7 linked regions of the Coturnix japonica genome follow. The protein of the gene in region 6 interacts with the protein of the main gene of each other region in a pairwise test. Links are inferred from orthologs where the notes say so. Each region holds a gene or a part of one and is shown on either strand. Other genes may lie near its edges.

Region 1 (4,197 bases), on a different chromosome or scaffold from region 6:
TGCATTGGAGTGAACCCCTGGAGCAGAGGGAGCAGCAAAGCAGTGAAGCCTTTAATTGCATTAGTTCATTTCTATTTGGGGACCACTGAGCCATCCCCAACCTGGCAGCTGCTGCGTGGCCCTGCAGTGATCTCCACACTCCACACTTGCAGGTGCATTGGGCACAGTGCTTCAGGACGTGGGAGCACTGTGGATCCCAATTGCCATTTGGGTTTGGATGTGCTCCCGGGGCCATTGCCACAAAACCATGTCGTGGGGCTGCCGCTTCAGCCTAGTATGATTGGTTTCACTGTGCCAGGATGGCACCACGCTGGTCCTGCTGTGGCCACTTCCTCTGTGTGCTTTGCAGCCCTGGCATGGAGCAGCCCTTTCCCTTCCCATTGCCTCTCTCCTGCCAGCCGCAGACACAGTGCCTCTTGTTTGCCTTATTCCATCCTGCACTTTCCAATATAGGCGCCCAGGATTTTTGTAGTTAGGATAAGGGTTTCCAAGCTCTTGAATGACAAGAGCCAGCTTTTTCATCCAGTGGAGCTTTCATCTAACACTGTGGACTTTTAAAATCTCCTTTTAACATTGCCTTGGCATTGCACCACTGCTCCCTGTCAGATGGGTTCTGCAGATGGTGCTGAGTGTGGTGCCAGCCGTGTGCCCATGGGGTGAAGTTGCTTTGGGTCTCACCTGCCTGGGGCTGGTCACACTGCTCAGTGCTCAGTCCTGGCTGCCTGTCCCATTCCCATGGAGGAACTCAGCGTGGGCACCAGGTGTTGCTGTGCTAACAAGGGCCATCCCCAGCACTGGCATGCTGCCTCTTGTTGTTTTCGCTCAGCAGCAGAGCAAAGCTTCCTAATCTCAGCTCATCTGACATTAGTGTAAAGTGACACTCTTGGGAATTTGGGGACAGAAGAACTTTCCCTGGGGAAACGGCTGCGGTTCAAACCCTGCTGCTGTTTTGGGGAAGGCTGTGCTCGTGTGGTTGTTGGGAGGGTTTGTTCTGGGGTTGTGAGGAGGGGCTCATGCTATGCCGAGCAGTGAGGGTCTGTGAGCAGAGAACCCAGGGCTGGCTCTGATCCTTGCCTTGCAGCATGGGGCTATGGGCAAAGCCCCGTGTCCTGCTGTCAGTGCTGCTGCCAGAGGAGGTTTATGGGAGCAGCTGCAGCCTTTGAAAGCAGCCATGACCTTGGAGCCCCACTGGCAGCCTTTCCAGCCCCTTTTGTTGTGGAGCAGGGCATTGCCTTGCACTCCACATCCCTGCTGCCGACCCTTGGATGCTGCTCTGCTCTGAGCCTGGCAGGGGCTTGGCTGAGACTGCTGACAGGCAGCACTGGCACGCAATGCAGAGCCCTCATCCTGCCCCCATGTTCCCTCAGAGCTGTGCACAGCAGTGCCCTGCTTTCTTGCAGGGGCTGTGGGGGAAGCAGAGCTCTGCTGCCCACCCCATGCACCTTCCCTGCCTCTCGGATAAAGCACTGAATCACAAGCCCTGCTGGCACTGCTCTGCTTGGAGAGAGGGAGCAGCAGCAAAGCTGCCCCAGAACCATCAAGAGGATGGCACGGATGGGTGGGAGCACTGAGTTCTGAGCCAAGGCTGACCTAACCAGCTTATTGCCCCAGCCCTGGTAACGCCATGCACATGTGCCAAGGCCTGGATGAAGATCAGGTGCCAGTTTTGGGTCACTGGGTGCTGTTTGTGAGTAATTGGGGTCCTAGCCCAGCTCTTTTTGGAGGGATTTTCATTAAATTTCATTTTAACTTTTTGATAGAGGGTGAAAGGAGGGAGCAGATGTTTGGATTCCTTGAAGCCCTTAGGACACCACAAACTGCTTGAAGCTAGACAGGGGGAAAGCAGGAGGACCTTCCCGATATTGCTCCTGACAAATTGAAAATGCATTCTTAAAGCATTCTGTAATCTGAGCAGCTTTATGCAGGTCAGGAACTCAGACAGCCCTTCTGTTTTTCCTGACCTACTGGATGGAGCTGGGAGGGGAGCTGTAGAAGAACTGACACCAGAGCAGGGCAGCCCAGCCGCGCGGTGGTGACATATCTCCAGGCAAAGTGACACCCAATGACATCCACAGCACAGCCACCTCCAGCATGTCTGCGTGCCTCAGGACCCCTCAGCACCGCTCCCTTTAGAGTTACTCCTAGTATAACTCCTTTAGAGTTCTATGGCTGCTTTCCTAAGGGATGTGCACTTGTCACCCCGTGCTGAGGGTGGTGGCTTGCCCTGGCTTCCATTAGTTGGGAGCAAGGAAGTGGTGTGGGAGTGGGGACCGAAGCTGGGTGCAAACTTAGTGCTGGGGGTTGATCTGCAAGGCTGACATTTCTCACCATCCCCTCCTTGCTGTCCCCAAAGGCCCAGCACGGCCCCAGCACTGAACCCATCAGGTGGCACTACTTAAGAGCAGCTCAGTCCCACTATAATCCCCTTCTGCTGTCACCACCTGTAGCACACGGCGAGCAAAACAAGCCCCATGTGAGCAAACAGTGCCCTCTCCCCAAACCCCCCACTGCATCCCGCACCCACGTACCTTCTTCCCATGCGCTCCTCCCATTGTTCAGGACTTTGGCCGTGCCCCACTGGCACCGTCCCTGCTATGCCTGTGGGTTCTGGTGGCCGTGCAGCTCCCAGTGCCCCCAGTGTCCCCACGGGGAGAGGCAGCTGAGCTCCAGCCCGTTTGCAGTGGGGCCGGTCGGGAGGGTTCCCTTCTCCTCCCTTCTCCCAGCACGTGGAGAACTCATTTTCTTCGTGCACCTCACGGCTGGCGCGCGCCCAGGCTCTGCCCGGGCACAAAGGCAGCTTTCATGCTGCGGATGCCCGGTTTCTAAGCCGGGCTCCGTATTTTGAGAGGCTGTGGAAGATTACAGTAATTGCACTTGACAGGGCAAGATGTCACAGGACGCGGATTCGCTCGGCCGCGGGGCCCCGGCACCCAGCAGTCCTCGCTTGTGGCATCCTTCCTGGCTTGTTCTCTGGTGCTTTGCTGAAATAAATCGGTACCCCAAAATAAGGCAGGACAGCCCCTGAGTCCCGGCTGTGCAGCAGTGCTGGATTTTGCAGATCTGATCCTGTGGATGTTCTTGGGGGCTGCAGCCGCTGCTCTGGGCAGAGCTCAGGGCTGAGTGAGTTGGGAACACGGTACTGCGACCGAGTGTGCTCACCCAGGTAGGAACCATCCACATCTCTGCACCTTCCGAAACAGCGGGGAGATGGAAAAACAACCTCATGTGGGGTTTGCTGTCCCTGCAGCCGTCACCCTTAATAAGCAAATTCAATTTGCTAAATAATCATGGCACTTAAAGCCGTATTTATGACTCCCAGAACACTGTGGGATTTTTGATTTATTTTTCAGGCTGCAGTAAGTTGGGGAGGAAGGGCTCTTTGGAGCTCTGGCTGCACAGTGAGGTCACACAGGAGCTGCACTTCAGCTCTCCCTACTGTTCCCAAACTGCGTGTACCTCTAACACTCAGTGATGGGCTCAGTGCTCTTTATAGCTGCCTTTAGCATGCTGAGACATACATTTCCTTTAGAAAGGCTTCTGGTGTAAAGCCAAAACAACGCATTGCAAGCAGGGTTGGTTGTTTTCCCCACTGTAGCTGCTACTAGGTGCTGCTTTCCCCTTTGCAACAGCCTTTACGGGTCCCAGGCTGTTTTCAGTTTGGCTTACAAGCGAATTCAGATCCTCTGAGGGGGCTTAAAATAGTTGGCATATTTCTGCTGGCGGTGCAGTGGGGTGTGTGGCGCGAGGGCTGTTGTGTCTGCTGCGCTGTGCTGGTGCTCACTGCTGCTGCCGTGTGGGTGATTCAGCGCCCGGGATTAACGGCTGCTGCAGCAGCAGATTTAGGGATCGATGTATGGCAGAGGCTTCCCACGGTGTGGTCAGGTGCACACTAAGTGCAGGAGGATAAGCTTGGATAAAATACTACAGCTAACAGGGAATTCCTCTGTGATGGCAGTGGAAGACCACTGGGGCCAGAGCATCCCCATGTCTGTGGGCAGGGGACAGCCATGTATGTTGCTGTGACAGTGGATGGGTGATGGGGAAACCCAGCTGGTGGCAGAGGGGTTGGCAATGCCAGGCCTGTGGAGAAAAGCCTGGATTAGGCTCGAAAATGGAGGGAAGGAGGTACTGGTTTATAATTATACACATTATTTAAGAAACAACTAGAAAACATATCACAAAACGCTTCGTTTGAAG
Region 2 (3,500 bases), on a different chromosome or scaffold from region 6:
GGGATTCCATTCTCAGTTGTGAATCCCTTTGATTTCAAAGAACCTCTTACTTTACTGCGGGTTATGACAGAGAAAGAAGGGCAAAACAGAAATAACATGGAATATCTCCCCATATTACTCCCCAGTCTGCCAGGCTGGCCTGCTTTGTTCTGACACCTTATTAGTAGAGTATGGCAGTACTGGGCAGAGCTGGGCCAAGAGGAAAACAGCTGACTGAGACTTAAAGATAATGTCTGTGTCGGAAACAAAGTCAGCAACATCCTAGGTTGCAGCTTACCTGTGAGAAGCCACTCTTCCTCATCTGACAGTCTGCCAGCATCTGGTGAACATCCCGGGCTTCCTTCTGGGCAGAGGAAAAGAGTGGTGAGAAATAAATGCAGAATTTGGAACTTTACTCTTTTTTGGAATGTGTCCTTGACAAAAATCTCCATGACTGCAGGTGGAGATTGTGGGTACCACATAGTAGTGCTGGGCTGCCATAGCCTGGAATGCTCTTTGTATGGAAGTGCCGTGCTTTGTAGGCTGCTCTCTTCTCACAGCACTCCCTGGCAAGCCCAGTAAGGCAGGCAGGAACATTCTGCATTTTCAGAGCTGATGGCAAGAAGCAGCTACCCTTTCCTTTTCACTCTCCCCAAAGGTAGAGCACAAGAATCTTGGGAGTATTTTGCCCTTGGAGATGTGCACCAGTAAAGCATTTCCAGAGTGAATCTCACTTGTGCTTTCAACTTCAGGTACACCTCAGTCTAATCTCCTGCATATGCAAGTTGCTGGACTCTAGGAGTTCGAGGCAGAAGGAGTAATGTGACTTCTATGTTAACAATTTTTTCCAGTTTTCTCTGATAAAAAAATAGTTAGTTTTTTTTTCATCACATTAAATCAAATATACCACCGGGAAAAGAGTCAGGGGTGTCAGGAATTGTCCTAAGTCTGCCTAGATTAGGTAAGTGATACTCACAAGTGGTCCCAGGGAGCAGAAAGAAGGGAAGCTTGCCTTCTTTCCATCTCCATAAATCAAGCCCTAGCAGAACCTGCCATCTAGTGCTTCAGCTGCTTTTTCTCTTTTGTTACTGTGGCTGACTGCTGCAAACCACTGCCTGTCAGACTGACCCAACTAGCTGCATGCCTCATGTTTTCTCTTTCCTAAAACCAGTCTGGCTATGCTGGCAGCTGAGACCTGTCTTTTAGGAAAAGGTGAGGCTTGTCTTTGAGCAAACATCCACCCACCACCCTATTTGACCCAAACTGCCTCCCACAGCACAGTGAGTAATAAGTTAGCTGTACTACACTGCTTTCCAAGGACATGCTTTGCTTTCTCTATCACCTGTTGGGCTAATATTTAATATGACCCTGGATTTCCAATTTCCTTTTCCTAAACAGAGAACTAGGAACTTAAAACTTGAGTGAAGCAGCTTGTTTTCTTAGATCAAACCCCATGGCCCCTGCAGCGAAGCATAGTGCTCAGATCCCTCAGGTACAGAAAAGGCAATTTAACAAGGGAGGGTGAGAGAAAGCTAGCTCCCCTTCTCTCCACCTTTACAAAATGCAACATTTGGGTCTGCAGCCTGTATCCTCCCCTTGACTAGCATAAACATCAGAAACCTGGGAAAATAACTTATTTACAATACAGTGACGGAAAACAGAAAGTAAAATATGCAAAACTCCTCTGTTTTCATCTGCAAAAGTTTGTAAGGGTTTTATATCTTTGGTAGTGGGATTTTTAGTTGGCTGATTCAGTGATGGATTTTGGGTTTCGTTTTTGTTGCTGTTAATATTGACTAATAGCTTTCTTTAAAAAAGGGAGGGTGGGAAAAAAAAGGATCTCCCACATAGTTGCTCAACTTCAGCAAACAGTGCTGAGAAAAACCTTGTGTGATTCAGAACCATCTGATAAAGGAAACAGCCACTCAGCCACCAAATTCCCTTCAGCATATTGGCAGCAGTGGGAGAGGCATTTAGCCCAAACTCAGCCTTTAGTTACAGTGCTTTTATGCTGAAATATGGCATGGTTGTGTAACAGAGCAATATACACTCATAGAAGTTAGCAGCAAAAGGCAGAACGAAAACTCACAGGATGAGATTGGACTTCTCCCATTGAACTGGCAGGATTTTCCAGTTCAACTTTGATTGCACTGGTAGCTAATTTCTTTGTTGTTTTGTTTGTTGTTTTTTGTTTGTTTTTTTTTTAATCTCAGTTCTCTGTAAATGGCTTTTTGTAGCTAGTTAAACAGGACAAATGTATTTATTAATGGAGAAAAATATTTCTGTAATGAAACACCTCAGTAAAGATGGAGATGCTGTCATTGTAGTTACTGCATTTGGAGTTGTCCTGTGCTGTCAAGTTTATCAACTATCATCTTTTCTAGGAGACAAAGAAAAAAAGAAATAGACAACAAAAGAGGGGACTTGAGGATACGTATTTTAGAGAATAGTGGCAGAATTACATTCATCTCATCTTCTGTGAAAGTAGATGAGTTATGTGAGGGCCATGGCTTTCCTCTTTTGCCTCTGAAAAGCAGTCCAATCTGCCACAGAGAAGGAAGGAAAGTGATGTGATTCTCACTATATCCATGGAGAATGGGAAGCAAAGGAATTGAGAGTAACTTGTCTAGTGGTGCAGAACAGATCTGTCCCAGCTAACAATAGCACTTGGACCTTCAGGTCCTAAGGAAGGATGTAGCAGTATGGCTTGTCCTGAAAGTACAGATGAAAAACCTTAATAGTCAGCTGGCTTCTCTCTCAGATTTCTATTTATAGCAACCAGGATTTGCTGCACTTCCTAGATCTCAAAGCAAATGGTTATTAGTATGGAAAAAAAGGGGAAAGCTACCTTTTTGAGCTCCTGGCTTTTCCCAATTGTACCAGCAGTGTTTTTTCTCGCCTCTTCTTTCTGTTCCTCTACAGTGTTTTTATTGTTTCCCTGAACTTCTGTCTCACCCAGGACTTCTGGCTGTGGTTGCAGAGACTGTGTTACAGCACAGTCCGTCTCTCTGAAACACAAGGGACAGTTCTTAGGAATACCAGGGAGAGACTCTCTGCTCTCTAAACATCTGACAGGAAATTACACATGAGCAAGTAGTGCTGTGATGGAGCAGTGTGTGCCTGCATGCAGCTGTCATATCTCCAGATCAGGTAGATGGAACAATTAAATTAGTTATTCATTGTGAGTAACTGTTGGCCTGCTGTAGGCAGGCAAGCACCTGTTGGTGAATCAGTGCAATCCAAACACGTGGCCTGCTGCAGGAACAGTTACCATTTCCTGTGATATGTTGAGGTTACTGCACAGCAGGGATATCCTGGGAGACTGAGGAGCTGGGGCAGGCCCCAAGCTGGAGCTGATCTCTGCTGGTATTTTGTGTACCTGCAGAAAACCTGTGCCTTTGGTCTGCAAGTGAAGTGTGACAGTGATGACCGCACCCAGCCCAGCCCCGAAGTTTAAATCAAAGGGAAGAGGTTTTACAAAGAGATGAGTGTTACTTCCCTGTGGCAATGCTGGATTTGTC
Region 3 (2,611 bases), on a different chromosome or scaffold from region 6:
TACCACACCTCCTCCAATATTTCCTCCAATATTTCCTCATTTCACAACACTTTTCATCACTTGCTCTTGAAATCACGGACAGAAACATAGGGATTGCAGAAATAACTCATGACTCTCAGACCCATCTCTGGGTTGATGTACATCCCCAGAGCTGAAGTCTAATCAATGGACTTAGTTAAAGAAACATAATAACAGTAAATTGTTCACATGAAGATGCAGGACCTATTCCAATCTAAAAACACATTCTGCACATCTTTGGTACTGGAACTTTATGTGGTATCTTGAGATCCTCCAAAAGACACCAGCCGCCCTTCTGCAGGGTGCAGCATTCTCACCTTCTCTGAAGCATCTTGCTTGCGAGTGGAGTCTCGCCCACGCAGGCTCTTTGCGCTGATCCCCGACTCTGACGTTTGCATGATCAGTTGTGTAGCCAGAAATTGCTGCAGGAAAACCATACTCTGTTAAGATTCTCTAGCAAAACAAGCTCAGTTAAAGCTTGTCAGCTATCACAAACCACAGGGCTGGGAACGAATGGGTCAGAGACAGTTTCAGTTCCTTGTTTGCTGCTCAGAATAAGTTTCCCCATTCACCTCAGCAGCCACAAGTCTGGAGGGACTATAAAAATCCAGTTCAAACTATGACAGCCCTGGCAGCTGGGACGTTCTGCTTCAGAAGAAATTCTAATGATACATATTCAAAGGACAATCTCAGGACAGTTTTGTATGTGCCTCAAGCCAGCACAGACTGACAGTCACCAAAAGCAGCAGCTGCGTCCCTTGTCATTCACTGATCTTGTTGCTCATTTCTGTTCCTGAACCACACCCCAGTTCTTGCTGGCCTAAGCATATGTGCACCCCCAAAGGAAATCAGGTTTGAAATTAGTCTGGGCTAAGCCAAACAAACATCTCACTGTGTTAGTTTTAACAATCCAGTTCACCACAAACACCTAAGCTAGTACAAGCAGGCAAAGATGGGGATTCATTTGAAGACACTGTGAGTGAAACTTCATTTTCACTTCCAGAAGTCTTTCCTGTACCTGTGGACCAATGCAGACAACTCTGTTCTGAAACAGCCTCAGCTCAGTACTTTACCTGGATCTGTTCCAGGACATCTCGCTGCATCTCTACAGCCATATGGTACACATCGTGGTCAGAGCTATTGTACATAACTGCATTTTGAAACATCAGCATAATGTCACGCTGGAACTCAGCTGTGGTTCGTATCAGTCCATTCTCAATGTTCTTCTTGATGGTAGATAAATCCATCGGCCTATGAAATACATTCAAAATAGCAATGCAAACATGTAACTCTCTCCTTTCTCATTTGCAGTCTAAGGACTAAAACATATCTAATTAGACCATCTATTTAATTTAGCAGAATATGTTCCCACATAGGCTGCATTCCTGAGTTCCAAGGCTTCAGATCAGGAGACACAATCTGCTCAGCAGTTAACAGGAATGGTAAGTACATGTAACAGCTGCCTCAAGAGAGGCATTTGCCTTCTCCAAGCATTCCGTGTGACACAAGGGAGCCACAGCTACAACCACTGGACTATTTAGGCACATTTTGGTAACTCTTCCATAATCTAGACTTTCTGAGGCAATAAAAGAGCTGATTAAAGAATCCGGGTTGTGGGAACATCACACCTTAAATTCAACCCTTGGACAATAACAGAGAAGCTGATAGTCACATACCACTTCACTGATAAAAAAATGTTCTGGTCAAATCTGTATTTCATTCAAGGACAGGGCTGTGTACAGACTTGTATGTGTTACTGAAGGTGTCCCTTTTTCTTAGGGAAATACAATGAATGATGTCAGAAGAAAGGTATTTTTCAAGTTTTGCAGTCTGAACAATGGATGAACTCTAGACTCTTCCTGGCAGAAATTCTTACGCAAATACACCAGAGTTCTTGTCACATAAGAATGCTGAGACTCACCTCTGCACAATACTGTGGTAGCCTGGTGCTATATCGTCAGTCACAGGCTGCAGGAAGACATTGGCATACCTAAAGAGATAGAGAGAGATTCCAGTGAATGCCCTGCCCCTGCCAATAGAGGAACAATTCTCAAATACTTGTGTCATGCTCTCATGTTTATTTGTCTGCTATCACTAACAGTGTGATTCATCATCTCCCCATAACAAGGCAGGTAAAGCCTCAGAGCTGGGAAAGTACAGACTTGCCTGAGATTAGTCACTTCTTTCTGCCAGTTCTCAAGACATCAAACTCACCTGTGATTAGCCGCTGCTCTCCAAACCAGCATGATGGCTTTCTTCCAGATCTTCTGAGCCTGTATTGCTTCCTGATCCTCACTGCACACTGAGCTGAGAAAAAAACAGAATATGATTTCCTCTGTGAATCTCCATACTGCCCTGGCGCAGAAACCTTACGGTTCATTTTGCCTTTGTCATGCTTACAGTAACCCAAGCCAGAGAGAAATATAAAAAATGGGACCTGGCACTACAGCACTGTTTGAACACCTGCACTTCTGAGTAAGGACAATCTAGTGCCAGACAAATCATCAACAAATTCCCCCACTGGACCCACTCAGCAAAACAGAAATGAGAATCCTGCACTCCCCCCAGGAAACAGCCTGGGATTTGCACCTGT
Region 4 (3,500 bases), on a different chromosome or scaffold from region 6:
ATATTCTGTTGGATTCTGTCACCATGTGACAGATGGCAGCTGAGAGGCAGCCTGACAGAATGGAGTGTATGAAGCAAAGGTATGGAAATGAACTCCTCCATGCAGAAAAAACATAACCCACTGACATTTATCAGGTGACATTTGCCTGTGTGGATTTTTTCAAGCTCAGCCTTTGTTCATTGCTGGCAAAAACGCTAATGGTGGCTGACTATGGTGAAAAATTGTGTTTTGCAGCTGAGAATTTGCTCTGTTAAGTAGTGTCCAGCAGAGGGCCATAAAGATGACAAAGGACCTGGAGCACCTCAGGAAATGCTGAATGACCCAGGCCTGTCCAGCCTTGAGAAAAGATGACCCAGTGGGGATCTGATCAATAAATATCTAAGGTTTGGGAGGCAAAGGGAAGAGGCCAGAGTTTTCTAAGTAGTGCATACTGACAGGACAATTGGAAATGTCCACAAACTGAAGTATACGAAGTTCTGCACAAATGTGCACAAGAACTTCTTCACAGTAAGGGTGATGGAGCACTGGAACAGGTTGCTCAGAGAGGCTGTGGAGTCTCCTTCTGTGGAGATGTTCAAGAGCCACCTGAACGCCTACCTGTGCAACCTGGTCTAGAGAGCCTGCTTTGGCAAGGGGGTTGGACCTGATCTCTAGAGATATTCTAGCCCCTACAGTTCTGTGATTCTGCTATTGTGCTCTTTGTAACTGTTGTAGTTTCCATGGAAATAAATAGAAGGCATTACCTTTGGAGCAACCTGTATACAGAATGCACATTTTTTCATTCAGTTCAAAGTTTCGCTAACAAACAGACATTATATTAACTTATCTACACACACATTTAATAAAGTCTAAATGTAGTTAAAGAACTATAGTCCAAGTTAACATTGCATATATTTACAAATCACTGAGTTCTGACAAAAGATCCATGCTCAAAGAAAATCTCATCTCTTTTGTAAATCAGTGTACACATAATGATATTGTCATACTGTCAAAAATACATTTTGAGGGTAAGTTTGACATCATTTTCTACATTGTATTTCAAATCAAAAGAGTTGCAACATAATATGGGGACAAGCCTTCCACTGGCTTGGCTGACATTTTCTCTCTCTTCTCAAAAACATACTTTGTTAATGGAATATACATACCTCCACTTCATCACTTTCATTTATGTCTTTATTATAGCCTGCAGGTGGTGGAAACCTCACATCATGGAATGGTATTTGTCTCTCTGGTTGCCAGCTACGAATGAAAATACAGTGAATGACCTAAACACTTTCACTTTCCTTTTAAGAAATAAATTCATTCATTTCATTTCATCTTTTTTTTTTTTTTTTGTTTTGCAGAGCATTTGCGTACGTATATCAAAATCTTGCTCCTACCTGTACTGTTTTGAAACCTTCCAGTTGTTTTTAGAATTTATAGCTACAGGTTTTATCCCCAACATCAAAAATTCAGGTTAAAAAAATTCTTAACACTTTTAAACTTTTACTTCAAAATCAGTCTCTTTCATCTTTAGCTTAAAAGGAAATAACCCAGGTTATGTCTGAATTCACTTTGAATTTTAAAATTCTTTAAAATTTAATAAAATTAACAAGTTTTTTTTTTGTTTTTTTTTGTTTTTTTTCCAAAAGTAACCATAAAATGACCCCTAAAAAATACACTACTCCATAACAAAGATACACTAGATAGGATTATATATGTACATACACATATACATACACACACCTCACCTTGGTTTTCCTTCCTGAAGGAAACAAAATCTAAGCTAAACAATGTAACAGAAGACTAACTTGCTGTGCCACTAAATCATGGTACAAAATTTAAGCATGGGAAACTGGCATTCATCACCATCTATAAAACAAGTTTTGTAATAAAGCAATTGGGAAAATCTGAAATAAAATATTCAAATAAGATAGAAGCAGTCATGGTATCACCGCTTACTTAAAACACTGGTTGCTATTATGTAAGTCCGATAATACAATTTTCAGATCATTCACCTTCCCCTGCTTTTGTAATTTAAAATATTTAAACAATTGAAAGCACAGACAAAACGTACATAGTAGTTAATCCCCTAATTCTAAAACATAGCAGCAGAATCATACACTATCTTAAGGATGCCACTCTCCGTCAACAAAAGTGCTATTTAGGTTCATCAGATTCAAGATAGAAACTCTCCTAACTCTGTATTTGCAGATACAACAGCAATATACTTACTTGTTTTCAAATGCGACTGTTATTGAATCTTCATGTACATCCTTTACAAATGCCTGTGAAGAAAAAAGAGGTACACTTACAGTATGTCTGCAGATACTTTTAAAAAACAAGCCTCAAACAACGCTTTTCTTCCACAGATATTAGTATTATTCAGAATGTAAATATGTTTTTGAGTCAGCCTTTTACGTATTGTAGTAGACCAATATAAAACATGCACTGAAAGCTGGTAACCTCCTGAATTCACCCCTGTAAACAGGCAGGCAAACAGAATGTCCAAGTAATACACACAGCCTTTCTATTTCTTAGAAATAATGGAAGAGGTCACTAACAAATGACAAAATCATTTTGAAGTATGAGATATGAAATCCAATGTCTTAAACTTGAGTTATAGTTATTATCTCATACTTTCTGACAAGAAAACTACAGTTTAGAAATTAAACTTGACTACCCTTAAGAAAAAAAAAAAAAAAAAGACTTGTTTCACCACAAGATAAGCCTGAATATTGATCCACCAAAAATCACACATATCCATTCTAGCACAATTTTCATTCACACAGTCAGCATCCTTAGCATACAAACTTAAGCAAAATGCCCTGCAGCCTTCCTTGCTTTCTTCTGGGCAATGAATAGCAGCTGTGCTAAGTCTCCCACACAACCATGAAGCAGCGCACACAGTTAAGTCTATAAGCCTAGAGGGTGCTTTTTTCCACTTACGCTACTGAACTCAATGACCCTTGATCATTTCTCAGCTCTATGCTCAAACTCCCCCATCCACCACACACCAAGATTATATTCTAATTAAAAAAACTTAGGGATTCACTAGGAAAGATATTTTTCATAGCCTCAAACAGAGGGCACACAGCAATGAGGGTTGAAAATAATGCATTGTTTGTTTCTTTTCAAAAATACCTTTAAAAATTACTGAAATAGATGGGCACTAGCAACGTGCTGAGTATTTCATCACTAGCATTTATCCAAGCTTCTCACACCCTTGCAAAGTAGAGGTGAATGAAAGTCCAAGAGAGATTACAGAAGTGAATTCTACCAAAGGAGGTGCACCCCAGTAGATGAACAAATTCTCAGTAAGTTGAAAATAACTTAACAGCAACCTTCTTGTAAGTTGTAATTAATGAACTGTAGTACATTTCTTTCTCTCCACTTTTCAAGTTCCCAACAAAAGAATAACAGGTCTTGAAAGAGTGTTAAGATTCTGTTAGGTATGGCACCTAAGAGGTTAAGAAAATAAATAAATCCACCAGCTTCTTTCACAAGTATTCTCAAGCATC
Region 5 (4,077 bases), on a different chromosome or scaffold from region 6:
ACAGGACCCAGGACCCACGGCCGCTCCGGCTCAGCACAAGCAGGGGCCGCTGCCGGCACCGCTGCACGGGCACAAAGTTCAGGGCAGGAAAACAAACAGGAGCCGCGGATGGAGGGACACCGCGCAGGCAGGGGGGAGGCAGAGAGGATCGCGCTCCTTATCTGAGGTAATGTCACGCAGTGTAACGTGGAATCAATCTTAATATTTGCAGCGCAGCCGATATCCAGCTCTCAGCCGTCAGCAGAGCTGAAGCGGGACCCGGCGGCACAGGAGCCCGTGCACAACACGCACCAACTGCACCGACAGCCGCGCACCGGGCAGCTCAGCTGGGCTCTGCTGCGTGCACGAGGCGGCTGCTAACCTCTATAACCCCAGATTTTCAGCTTGCAACTAAGAGGGCTGCAATGGAGCACCAAATACAGCTAAAAAGCAAACGAGTGCAGGTGTTCAGTTTTAAGGCCAGATTAGGAAAAAAGAAAAAAGAAAAAAAAAAGTCAAAAAAGTCCTTATTGTCACAATGAAGAGTACGATATTTTTCAAAATTGTCTTATTTTAAAAAAAGAAAAAATCTCTGTAAATTCAGCGATGTAAGAAATTTGCAAAAATCCCTTCAAACGCCTTCGAGACAAACGCGACATTCCTTCCCGTCTCATTAATGTTGCACGGAAAATAACGTTGTTGTGACCATCATTTCAGTGTTTCAAACCCCGCCGCCCGCAGCTGCCAACGCGGAGCCGGAGCCGGAGCCGGAGCCGCTCTGCACGCGCGGCCGCATCCGTCACTTCGGCGCTGCCCGTCCCTCTCCAGCGCTTCCCTCGCGGCGCTGCCGGCGCTGCACGCGGCGGATCCGGGCCCGGGCCGGGCGCTGCCGGGTGCCGCTGTGCGCCGGTACCGCGGGCAGGGCAGGGCAGGGCCGGGCGCATCCCGGAGGCGGCGGAGGGCCGCGGCCGAGCAGCGGGCGGCAGCGCCGAGGCGCGGCGGAGGAGGGCTCAAGATGGCTGCGGCGCGGGCCGGCCCTTACCTGTTTTCTCCTTGATCTCGCAGAGGACGCTGAAGAGCGCGGGCTTCATCCTGTGGCAGTTCAGCGCGTGCTTCCTGCAAGAGAGCACACACAGCGTTAGCGCCCGACGCGAACATGGCGCCCGCCGCGCCGCGCCGCCAGGCCGCCCGCAGAGCCCGGCATCGGGCCCCGAAACCGGCCCCGAAACCGGCCCCGGCCCGCACCAGGAGCGGGCCCGAGCGGGGCCGTTGCTCCGTGCCACACCGCGGCGGCGCCTCTCAGCGCCGGGCCGGGCCCGGGCCCCGCTGCGCGCGGCGTAAATCAGCGCCGTCCGGGGCTGATTTATTGCGGAGCGGCCCGGGCCGGGCCGCGCTTTGTTTCGCAGGGCGGTGATTTAGGACGGCCGCCGCTCTCTCCCCCCGCGGCGGTGTCTGCTCGGCGCCGCCATCCATCTCCCGCCGCGCCGGGCACGGGGCAGCGCCGCGGAAAGTTGCGGCCCGGCCCGGGGCCCGCGGACACACGGACACGGGACGGGGCCGGCTCGAGCACCTCCCGCTGCCGCGTTTATCGCTCGGCTCGAGGCGTTCAGCGGCGTTAAGCGGCGTTCAGCGGCGCTCCGGCCGCGCCCCGCTCGCCCGGCGGTTCCTCCGGCGCCAGAAGTTCTGTCCCGGCCGCGTTCCCGGGCCGGAGCTGCGCGCCCCACGCGCGCCGACAGACAAGGCGTAACGAGACGACACCAACTTTGCTTGCGCCTCGTCCAGGCTTTGGTCGGTGATGGTCATGATCTGGTGCAGGATGTCCCCGATGTCCTGCTTCCTGCCGTCGCCGTCGGCCCCGTCGTGTCCGTGTGGAGGCGGCAGGGCCATGCCCCCCTGCACCGAGTGCCCCGCCAGGTTGACGCCCGCCAGGGTCTGCAGCATGCGGGACTGCTCGTCCATGGCCCCGCGCCGCGGGGGCACTGAGCGCCCCGGCTCGGCCCCGCCGCTCCGCGACGGCGAGAGGCGAAAAAAAAAGGCAAAAACACCAAAAGGAAACGGCGGCCGAAGGAGCGGCGGTGCCGGGAGCGGCGGCGGCTGGAAACGCGCTGTTCTCCCCGGCGCGGTAAATCACTCTTCTTTAGTTACAGTCTTCTCCCGTCAGCACCATGTCTGTGCCGGGCCGCTGCCTGTCCCCGGAGCGATCTTCCTCCACAGCGTTTTATTATGAGCAGTAGTATGATTGTTATCCTCTGCTATTATTGTTTTTATTGTTGCTTTCTATGTCTTTTCCCCACTTTGTCCAAAGAATCTTCTATGCGAAAAGGCAACAAAATAAAAAAAAAAAAAAAAAGTAAAAAAAAAATAAAAAATGACAAAATGCCCAAAGTTGGATTATTCAGATCCCGCAGAAGTTGGGAGGGCAAAGAGCAAAAAGCACAACGAGCCGAGCGGCCCCGGACCGACACATCAAAACGGCACCAAAACACGAGCAAAATTAATGCCCTCCCCCCAAAAATCACCAACCATCCCGGGTGAGCGGGGGGACGGCGAGGAGCAAAGTTTGAACTCGCGCAAAGAAAAGAGCGGAAATCGAGGGGAAAGAACTGTAAAAAAATTAATTACACACTGTGTGCGAAGCAACGTGCAAAAATATCAGCCGGCGGGGATTTATGAGCGCGGCCGCCCGGTGACTGTGTGTGCTTTATGTTGTTTGATGGCCGCTCCGGTGAGGGATTGACAGCCTGCCAATGCCACTCACTCACCCCGCAGACGTGTCACCCTGTGAGCAGCGCCGGACGAGCCACAGGACGAGCCGATCCGCCCCGCCCCGCAGCGCGCCGCCCCTCCCGCCCCGCCCCGCCCCATCGGGCGTGTCCGCCGCCGCCCCGCCCCGCGCCGCGGGGTCGCCCTCCCGCCGGGCCCGGAGCCGCGGCGCTCCCCGGGGGGCGGGCTCCGCGCGGAGCGGCGGGACCGGCGGCCAATCGGCGCGGCCGCGGGCGGGCGCTCCGGCCAATCGGCGACAGAGGCGCGGCGCCGCGCCCGCCCGCCCCCGCGGAGCCCCCGCCCCCTCGGCCGAGAAACTTGCGATTGGGCCGTTCGAACGGTCACGTGGCCCCGACGAAAGCCGCTCCGGCCCCGCCCCTTCTGTTGCTATGGGAGCGCCCCGGCCTCCGCTACACGCCGGCACCGAGACGGGACCGCGGCAGCACCGCGCGGCGGGACGGGACGGGACGGGACGGGGCAGCGCCCAGAGCGTGGGCGGTTTCAGAGCGCTGAGCTTTGGGGACGGAGCTTCGGAGCTTTACGAAGTTGGGTTCCCTCAGCTCCATAGCAAACAGCGCGGGGCTGTCACAGATGTGACGTGTGTACAGAACAAACAGCGGCTCGTGCTCCCGCCGTGTTACCTGCACATCCCGCCGGCCCCGCGCCTCCCTCACCTGCCCGGCCATGCCTGGCTGTCGCTGCGCGGTGTGACGGCATTAACACAGTCTCGGTTCGGCGCTGTGAAGCCCCGGCACGAATTGGAGCCGCGCTCGGCGGGGACGCGCTCTGTGTGACGGACTGCTCCGGATAAAAGTCATGTCCAAACTAAAACCTCTCCCCAACATCTCCTGGATGTGCAGCTGATGGCACAGGATCAATGTGGCCAATAGAGCTCTCCATGTTCCTCCACAGCTCCCGCTGCTATCACAGCTGACACCACCACGTCTCCTCCCCTCAGCACCATCACTCCGACGTCCCCTGTTTGACGTGGGGTTCCTCTCCACGTCCCGTGGGGGATGTTCTGGCTATTTCGGGTTCAACACTTTTACTGTTCCTCCAGGTAGTTAGAACATTCTCTAACATCTTCCATCTTCATTACTGAGACATTTTCTGGTATGAATGATCGCGTTCTTAGTGTCATCCAGCTTTATTAAAACTGCTGCTCCAAAGAGCTGTTCTATTCTCATTATTTCGAATACTTTGCACGTCAGCTTACATTTGTCCACCAAGTGTGAGGCTCCACAGACACAGCCGTGCTGTAGTAGAGCAGCACAGCCCTTCAGGGGCGGTTCAGTCGCAGCTCCATCCCGCACACATCCCAGCACAGCACAGCAC
Region 6 (4,007 bases):
TTTCACTACTCAGTGCAGATTCTCTTCTGGTATTTCCCTGAAATCTGCTTCCTTGACCAGATGGCTCTTCAGGAAAGATATCGAACCTCTCATTTGATCCGTAGAGATCCATGTGATAAAATATCAAGCCTTCAGTTTCACTAGAGTTTGGGACTGGTGGAGAAGCTGAATGACCAAGAAATTGGTCACTATTTTCATACTCTCTTGCACTGACAGATCTGGATGACATTGGTATCCTCTGTGAGGCTTTTGAGATGATGAGTCTCAGTCCTGTAAAAGAAAAGAAGAATCCCAGCTATGTGCTTAGAATCAAGCATGATGTGTTCTTTCTTAAAAATGTAGAAAGGAATAGGATTGGCTGACAGCTCTGGGCCTAGAGTTAAGCGTGGGAAAGGCTAAAGCTTCATTCCCTAATGGGATGCTTGGCTTTTCTGTCCCCTGTGCAAAGAGAGCTGTCTTTAGTGTGTATCTTGTATTTTCTGAGTGACTTGTCTGTGACCTGACATCTAAATTCCAAACTGTGGGGTAGTCCCATCTTCAGCATTACATTGGGATGTGCTTCAAGTGCATTTAGTGGTGTTCTGTACAAATGGAGATGGACTGATCTGAGGTCTGTTCACCCTTTAGCTGCCATCAAGCGCTGCTTCTGAACTGTCATTAAGGTATTTTGTAGGATGCCTTGTTGTGACTCCTGATGCCCCATAAAACATTAGCTAATGACCTGAAAACTCCTGTTCTAGATTTTTCAGGTTGTCTTTCTTGAAGTTGAAACTTGATGTTCCTTTTAGCTTTATTCTCACTCCCGTTCTCAGGTCCTTTCCATAGAACAGGGATAAATTCTGTCCTTCGGGGATTCTCAGGTGTTGTGAAAATACATTTTTTAACATATGAAATTTGCAGAAAAAGATGATGGTCCCCATGATAAATCACACAGTCTCCAGGAAGCAAGGCAGACCCTTGAACTGAGAGAAGCCTGATCTGATCTGAAGCTTGCAATGTGGGAGGTGTGAAAAAAGCATATGGATGCGGAATGCAAAGCTGTATGATAAAGCAGATGCATGTCGGACAACATTAAAGGTACAAAAGCAATCTTTATGCTGATTCCCCAGGCCCACTCCTTCTCAATATCCCACTATTAATAACAACAAATGAACTAATGCTGGTACAGGGAGACCACCAGGTGCTCTGTCAGAGCTGCTACATCCCCCCAGCCCTCCACCACTCAGCAAAATCATGGCTGCAGAACTGAAAAACAGTTCTGTTTTTCTAGCAATTGACTATGACAGCTAGCAGAGTTCATAGGGATATTTCAGCCAAAGTTAAATGAATCTATAGTTACATCTAGTCCTAATTCAGTGAAACAGGCAAAACCTTGGAAACCATTTTCTCCCAGAAACAAACAAACAAAAAATTCTCCAAAAAAGCTAAAAGTTCAGTCACTCATCACTCAGGATTTTAGGAGCTTCTGCAGAAGCTTTCACATAAGCTTTGCTTTCAAACTACTTTTTATAGTCTTCATAGTTACAAGTACTTGCTATCACCTCAACTTTGTTTCATCAGTATTTTACTAATATTCCTGAGGATTACTTAGCTATCAATGCCAACAAATTCAGTGATTTATTAGAAACTTATTGAACTGGTGAAAAATGCTAAGAAATTTCCCATTCTCCAGTTGGATACCAATGACTGAAAGCAATCCAGCCCCCTGGATCTCTAAGAAATTACACACAGAAGTTCACTGTTCTCTTCTGGCACTGCAGAAATGAATGTAGATTCTAGAGCTAGTGATTTCTTACCACAGCAAAAACAAACCCCACAGAAGTTATGCAGAAATACTACTATTTATGCTAGAGCTGATAAAATAAATCATGCAAATTCTAACATATGGAACAGAGTAAAGGACTTGAAACGTACCAGCAAATGTTGTCTGGCTCCCACAAAGACTTTTTTCCCCATAATTGTAACAATAAGCCTTGCTTTGCAAGCTACAACTAACTAAAAAAGTGAACAAGTATTTTTCCTACCAAAAGAAAATTAAATTATATAAATTAAAATGAGCATAATTAAGCGTGTCTGGAACCCTGCTGCCTAAATAAGGTTTTCAGATGATACGTTTGCTCAGTTTACAGACGCAGATACAATTACAGTGAAGAATGTTTAAGTCCATGACCACCAATAATGAAAAAAATACAGCAAAGAATGTTACTACCTAAAAACTTGCCTTCTATCTTAAGACGTCATAAATTCTTCTGATAGCTCAGATGATATCAAACTTCACATTTATTTCCCATAGTAAAAATTAATTCACAAAAAAGCAATTCCCTGCCACTTTCCTACATCTGCAGTCGGAAGACTTATTGCAGTAACTCTAGACCGCCTCTTTCCTCAGATAGGGACACGCCAGCAATGAGCAATGGCACAAATATAGATGTGCCCCAGCTGTCCTTGAGCTGCACACTGCTTGAGTGTCACCAGGACGAACACCATCCACTGAGAAAAGGCTCTGATGGTTCTGTGTGATTCCTGAGCCAGAGGACTTGGAACATTTATACAGATACCTCTCTAAAGCCAGAGCACACACTCAGTTTCTGAGCTGATATTAACAAACCCAGCAGAGTGCAGTAATAGACTCTAGACATGATTTCCAAGGGTGTAGTTGCAGGTGCGTTATCTTGTGTTGTATGCACAAAATGTGCATTCTTCATGAACAAACTCAAATGGATATGCACATGAAGACAGCAGGACAGTTAAACTGAAATGCCTATGCTGTTCTTTGCAAAAGTTTTATGGCAAAACCTGACTATCAAATTACTAGAAATTGCTGCTAGTGATCTGAGTTGGAATCAAGATCAGGTTCTAGAAAAGACATCTAGGAAAATATCTAAGAAACAACAGAATTTAGGGGGGAAAAAAATGCATGATGTGCACTTGTATATGTACACCATCCCCACTCTGTGTACGTATGCTGGGACTTTGGAAAGCTATTTATAGTGAAGCAAGTGGCTAATGGCCAGGCCAGGGGAGGGATTTCACAGAAACATAACCCTTCGGTCTGTGTTTAGCAATGGATCACCTGATAAAAAAAATAGGCAGATATTACTGCTGAACATTGTGATCACTGTGATTACTTCAGCTCTATGTAACCGCTCAAGCCCACAAAACTTTTAGTTGTCCAGAATACATAATGTTCTGTTTGTAAACTTGCTAGTGAGCTAACCTTGCTGGCAGGAGATGTTTAAGTGTGCTTGAGGACACTGCAGTGTATACTTCTCGAGCTCAGTAAGATGGGAAATGTCTATTGCATCTTGACAGAGCTCTGCTTTTTCCTCTATTCCAATCACACTTGGTGTCATTTCCTCACATTTTTAGCAGTACAACTGCTGGCTGTTTCAGCGACGAGTTACAAGTTAATTACCCATGTAGTCATAATCTCATTACTGCCAATAGTGTCTCTATCATCTGCAAGATCAGAGCAGAAATGTTTCCATGTAAATGATGCAGCCTTTGTAGGAATGTTAACACTGATGCTGTCAAACGGATGTTATTAATTTTTCAGATGGGAGCTCATTTATGCCTCTTTGTTGTTAATCTACAATATCTCACAGGCTTTCATCTATTGAAAAATTAGTAGTGTCAGCTTTACTTCCGAAGACCAGAACACAATGTTTTGTTTACCGTAAATTAAATTCAGCCTCGATGAGAGATACGTGCTGTACAAAAAGCTGTGTCACTTCCCGCTCTATTGCGAGGCCTGCGGGTCCTTTCATAGGGGCTCATTGGAAAAGGCCAACACATGCATTCAGGTTGGATATTAGGGAATATTTCTTCTCGGAGGGAGTGGTGAGGCATTGGCACAGGCTGCCCAGGGAAGAGTCGCTGTCCATGGGTCCGAGAGCAGGGTGGATATGGCACTGAGGGGCATAGGAGGGGAAGGGGTTATGGTTGGACTGGGTGTGGGACTGTGTGCCACCCTCCTGCTGAAGTCATTCAACAGCCAAGAAAGGACT
Region 7 (3,949 bases), on a different chromosome or scaffold from region 6:
TCTCTGAATGTAGCTTACTTCACTCGATTACTAACATCAAAGTAGCTAAAGAAATTAATAATTCTTTCATCCCTTATGACTAATGATATCAATTATTTAAGAAATAAAAATCATCAAGTTGCAAACCTTGCCAGTCCAGCACTACTGTTTTTATTTGTTTGGGTTTTTTTTAATATGCAAGTCTCAATCTCTTAGTAGCTATTAAACTCCAGCTTAAAAACTGAAGTGTTTACACAACACAAAAGAGAACGTTTCACCCGGTTGGTTTTAACAGCACAAATGTATTTCCAGTTCATGCATTCACACTGAACCTCTGGGTAACAGGGTAACTCATCTTTTAACTGCTCTGTTTCTTCTGGTGTGCTTGAAAGCATGAATTTTCCTGAGGGCCTGTGTCCCATCTGTGACAGAAAGCGATAATCCTCAGAACCACAAGACTAGACATGCAGGGTACCATTGAGCCACAACCAGCAGCTCAATCACTGTTTAAAAACTTCTCAGCTGTGCCTATAATCCCTCTGATGGGTAAACAAGGCAGCTAAGGCACTCTGTTAGATGGATTCCTGCTTTTGGATTCAGAACTAATTCTACATTCACTCTTACACAGCCAGAGATCAAGCATTATATCAAAACACACAAAACACTATCTCTAGCCACACACCCTCAGAAGTATTCTATTATGTTCCGTGAATTCAATCTGGGAACTAACCTGGATTTAATGAACATCCATGTCTTTCAGGTTGCTTTTCAAGCAGCTCCACTCCTCAGAATAACGCACTGCTGGCAGCCCCTGGTGCCAGTGGGGAGAGCAGGGCAGAGCTCAGCACACCCAGCAGCACCGCTGGCTCCTGCCAGCTCCGTGCTCAAGGAGCAAGTGTTAAATGTCTACTGGGACTACTTCTAATTCTAGAAGGGACAGAATGCCACCACTGCTACTCAGACTTGGATTACTCTCTCCTGACTGCAGGAGACTGTAGAGATGCAATTACAGCAACCATGCTGTGGACACCTAAGATGGAAGTCATATTTGCCTCGTGAAAGATTAAGCTCCTAACAACTGCAAGCATAGCCTGGACCCTCCCAAGGGATCAAGGATATGGGAGGCTTCCAATCTGAAAAGTTCCTGAAGATGTTCCTCATATGACCCTGAAATTACATGAATTAACAGCTCCTAAACTATCATCTCAAAGCTACTGAGCACAGCTTGTAGAACTGGTTTCATTTTTACACCTTTGTTTTAAGGACTTAAAGATCCACAGCAGTTCACAAGACACGCCGTGCATCAGCAGCAGTCTGATTCTATCAGAGGTTCAGATTCTTGGGCGTGAACAACAATTCACTAAAGACAGAAAACATATCTCCAAAATCTGTCACAAAACAAGAGGAAATACACAGCTGTTATGAAGCTACTGCTTCTGTTCAGCTACACATACCCATTGCTCACCCACAATCCTTCCTCAACCATATAAAGCCACCTTAATGTGCATAATAAAGTTTTCCTCCCCAGATGATGTCTTTTGGTAATAATTTGTATGCCCAAATCAAGTCTCCCTAAGCAGCAGTAGTTTGGCTTGTGCATCTGCTCCTGTGTTCCCTAAAGAACAGGGATGAAAGTTGTCTGTCCAGTCAGCCTTTACTCCTTGCTGGAAAGGCAAACTGCAACAAGGAAAACACCTTAACTGCCCATAGTTACTCAGCAGAACTGAGGGAGGATTTGTCAAGGACTCCAAAGCTCAGCTGTTTATGCAGATGTTTCTCTTCCTCCCCAAGTACAGACCAGCCCCTCCCTCGCAGCCAGGAAGTGCAAGTAAACCCCCAACAAGTTTCTGAGTGCATGAAACAGGTAACAAGGTAGTACAACTCTAGTTCTATACTGAAAGCAAAGCGAAGCCAGTTTAAACAAATCAACCTGTCTATGAACTAACCAACCGAACAGCTCAGTTTCCTTTCTCTCTTGAAGTACTTGCAGCGTCCTGATTCATACATCGATATTCTTATCATAACAGCAAGAACAAAAACAAACCCTGCTCTCAGGCTGAACGACAACGGGTTTGCTTGAGAAATCCTTCAGTTCCTCTGCTTCTCTATCGCGTTTTAAAGTAGTCCTGCTGATCAGTAGTTAAAAGTACTCTATACTTAACAAAAAGCACTGCTTCCCCTTGGCTTTCAAAGCTTCCCTTCGGCTTTCAATGCAGTGTTTTACGAGTCTCACTGACTCCCTCCTATCCCGGTGCACTATGAGCAGTGCTATCAAACCACCGAGTTCAACAGGTACAAAGCAGCTCCCGGCGCTGCCCATGGCGCTGCCCGGCCAGGCCCCACCACCTTCACGATGCCGATTGCGGCCTTTCCCCTCCGCTCGCTCCGCCGCCGCCTCCCGCAACTTCGGCTCAACTTCTTTCCATCTCCCATCCCGCCCCGTCCCCGCGACACCGGCCTCCTGCCTTCCCCTCCAACCCCGGCCGCTCACCCCCAGATGACATAGTTGGTCTTGACGTTTTTAGGCCAGGAGAACTCTCCGAAGATCACCTCGTCGCCCTTCACCACGATCTCTTTCTTCTGCGTGTTGTATTGCCGCAGCACGCTCAGCACGTCCGCCATCTTCACCCCGAAGCCGCCGCCGGCCGCCGCCGCTCCGCTCCGGGCCCGGCCCCTCCTTAAGCCGAGGAAGGACCCCGCCGCCAACAGCCAGGCCCCGGGCTGCCCTACAGGATCCGGGAAATTGAGGAGAGAAGGGATTTATCACCGTTCAGCGAAACGAAAGTGCATGCGTCAACGCTGCCTCCCTATGACGCTTTGTAACCGGCTTAAGAATCGAACTGACTCTCGTTACCGCCCCAACTGAGGAATAACGGACACAGGCACCGCGAGGGGCAGCCCCGAGTCTCGAGGGGCGGGGCTGGGAGGAGGAGGGGGCTGAGAGAGGAGCCGGACCGCAGTGAGGACTGGGTGGGAGCGCCGCCCCTTCCTGCCGGCCGCCATGTTCCTGCAGAGGGCGCTGCGACTGAGGGGCAGGTGGGTTGGGGGGCACGGGGTGTGAATGGGGATGGGGGGTGAGGGTAGGAGAAGGGGTAGGGATGGGGGTGACCCAGTGGGAGGGTGCAGGCCGTGGATCTGGGCAGGTTGGGTTGAGGGAGCGTATACCCGTAACTGTGGGCTTTGTGAGCTCCCACCTGGTGGAGACGTTACATTGAAAGGTAGTATGAGGCCAGCCTTTAAATTGAACGTGTCACTTATGTTTTTCTTCAGTTTTAGAATGGGAAATAGGCTGCCTACCTCTGTCAGTCTGTCCGATGCTGCTGCTGTGAATCAGATACAGGTAACGGGTGATGCGTTTACTGATCTTTTGAAACTCGTGGTTGCTTCAGGGCTCTTGTGAGTTAGGAAATCATAGAATGGGTTGAGTTGGAAGGGACCTTTAAGGCCATCGAGTTCCAGCCCCCTGCTGTAGGCACGGACTCATCCTTCTAGACCTGGTTGCTCACAGCCCCATCCAGCCTTGAGAGCTTCCAGGGAGGAGCTGCCACAAGCAGTTCTGCATATCAAACATACTTGTAGATAATTAATAGTAATGTTGATATTAAGTCACGCACTGTTTATCCCCAGTGCTGGGACCTGTTTTTCCTACGCTGTATCATTTATGTGACTTTTTGAAAAGACTTCTAGTCAAACTCAGTACTGCTCACAGTGTGGGGGAATTAAACCTTGTAAAGGTACCCCTACCAAATGCTTGTTGCTGTAATGGCAGATTGATAGATCCCTGTTTGTTTTTGTGACTGTCAGATACTGTTAAAATACACCAACTTACCAACCTGAACGTTCTTTTGCTTATTATAGGAGATAATCTCAGACAACTGCGTGGTGATTTTCTCTAAAACAACCTGCGTCTACTGCAGAATGGCAAAAAAGCTTTTTGACGGTCTGAACGTCAATTACACAGCTGTAGAAC

Evidence for each region.
Region 1: the proteins of FSD2 (region 6) and FAM107A interact in binary tests that used the Homo sapiens proteins (3 or more experiments, as listed by UniProt). The two-hybrid records come from large-scale screens. The link is inferred for Coturnix japonica from reciprocal best matches to the Homo sapiens genes FSD2 and FAM107A.
Region 2: the proteins of FSD2 (region 6) and SH2D4A interact in binary tests that used the Homo sapiens proteins (3 or more experiments, as listed by UniProt). The two-hybrid records come from large-scale screens. The link is inferred for Coturnix japonica from reciprocal best matches to the Homo sapiens genes FSD2 and SH2D4A.
Region 3: the proteins of FSD2 (region 6) and BRD8 interact in binary tests that used the Homo sapiens proteins (3 or more experiments, as listed by UniProt). The two-hybrid records come from large-scale screens. The link is inferred for Coturnix japonica from reciprocal best matches to the Homo sapiens genes FSD2 and BRD8.
Region 4: the proteins of FSD2 (region 6) and FMR1 interact in binary tests that used the Homo sapiens proteins (3 or more experiments, as listed by UniProt). The link is inferred for Coturnix japonica from reciprocal best matches to the Homo sapiens genes FSD2 and FMR1.
Region 5: the proteins of FSD2 (region 6) and PBX3 interact in a two-hybrid assay, tested with the Homo sapiens proteins (3 studies listed by BioGRID and IntAct). The two-hybrid records come from large-scale screens. The link is inferred for Coturnix japonica from reciprocal best matches to the Homo sapiens genes FSD2 and PBX3.
Region 7: the proteins of FSD2 (region 6) and CDC73 interact in binary tests that used the Homo sapiens proteins (3 or more experiments, as listed by UniProt). The two-hybrid records come from large-scale screens. The link is inferred for Coturnix japonica from reciprocal best matches to the Homo sapiens genes FSD2 and CDC73.

What each region holds. Positions count from the first base shown.
Region 1 is NC_029527.1:9,375,824-9,380,020, forward strand, and holds the start of FAM107A (actin-associated protein FAM107A), read right to left. Parts: upstream 2,801-4,197; 5' UTR 2,553-2,800; coding exon 2,529-2,552; intron 1-2,528. UniProt on the Homo sapiens protein: Stress-inducible actin-binding protein that plays a role in synaptic and cognitive functions by modulating actin filamentous (F-actin) dynamics. Mediates polymerization of globular actin to F-actin. Also binds to, stabilizes and bundles F-actin.
Region 2 is NC_029519.1:30,063,082-30,066,581, reverse strand, and holds part of SH2D4A (SH2 domain-containing protein 4A), read right to left. Parts: intron 2,988-3,500; coding exon 2,828-2,987; intron 344-2,827; coding exon 278-343; intron 1-277. UniProt on the Homo sapiens protein: Inhibits estrogen-induced cell proliferation by competing with PLCG for binding to ESR1, blocking the effect of estrogen on PLCG and repressing estrogen-induced proliferation. May play a role in T-cell development and function.
Region 3 is NC_029528.1:11,890,451-11,893,061, reverse strand, and holds part of BRD8 (bromodomain-containing protein 8), read right to left. Parts: intron 2,326-2,611; coding exon 2,233-2,325; intron 2,009-2,232; coding exon 1,940-2,008; intron 1,270-1,939; coding exon 1,092-1,269; intron 441-1,091; coding exon 336-440; intron 1-335. UniProt on the Homo sapiens protein: May act as a coactivator during transcriptional activation by hormone-activated nuclear receptors (NR). Isoform 2 stimulates transcriptional activation by AR/DHTR, ESR1/NR3A1, RXRA/NR2B1 and THRB/ERBA2.
Region 4 is NC_029519.1:17,289,197-17,292,696, forward strand, and holds part of FMR1 (synaptic functional regulator FMR1), read right to left. Parts: intron 2,268-3,500; coding exon 2,215-2,267; intron 1,240-2,214; coding exon 1,146-1,239; intron 1-1,145.
Region 5 is NC_029532.1:8,212,748-8,216,824, reverse strand, and holds the start of PBX3 (pre-B-cell leukemia transcription factor 3), read right to left. Parts: upstream 2,801-4,077; 5' UTR 1,939-2,800; coding exon 1,742-1,938; intron 1,705-1,741; exon of another isoform or gene 1,550-1,704; intron 1,523-1,549; exon of another isoform or gene 1,225-1,522; intron 1,096-1,224; coding exon 1,022-1,095; intron 1-1,021. UniProt on the Homo sapiens protein: Transcriptional activator that binds the sequence 5'-ATCAATCAA-3'.
Region 6 is NC_029525.1:9,848,414-9,852,420, forward strand, and holds the start of FSD2 (fibronectin type III and SPRY domain-containing protein 2), read right to left. Parts: upstream 2,801-4,007; 5' UTR 2,222-2,800; exon of another isoform or gene 1,915-2,221; intron 271-1,914; 5' UTR 230-270; coding exon 1-229.
Region 7 is NC_029523.1:3,380,346-3,384,294, forward strand, and holds the start of CDC73 (parafibromin), read right to left. Parts: upstream 2,801-3,949; 5' UTR 2,602-2,800; coding exon 2,471-2,601; intron 1-2,470. Other genes in the region: GLRX2 (glutaredoxin 2), read left to right, coding at 2,981-3,015, 3,250-3,319, 3,838-3,949.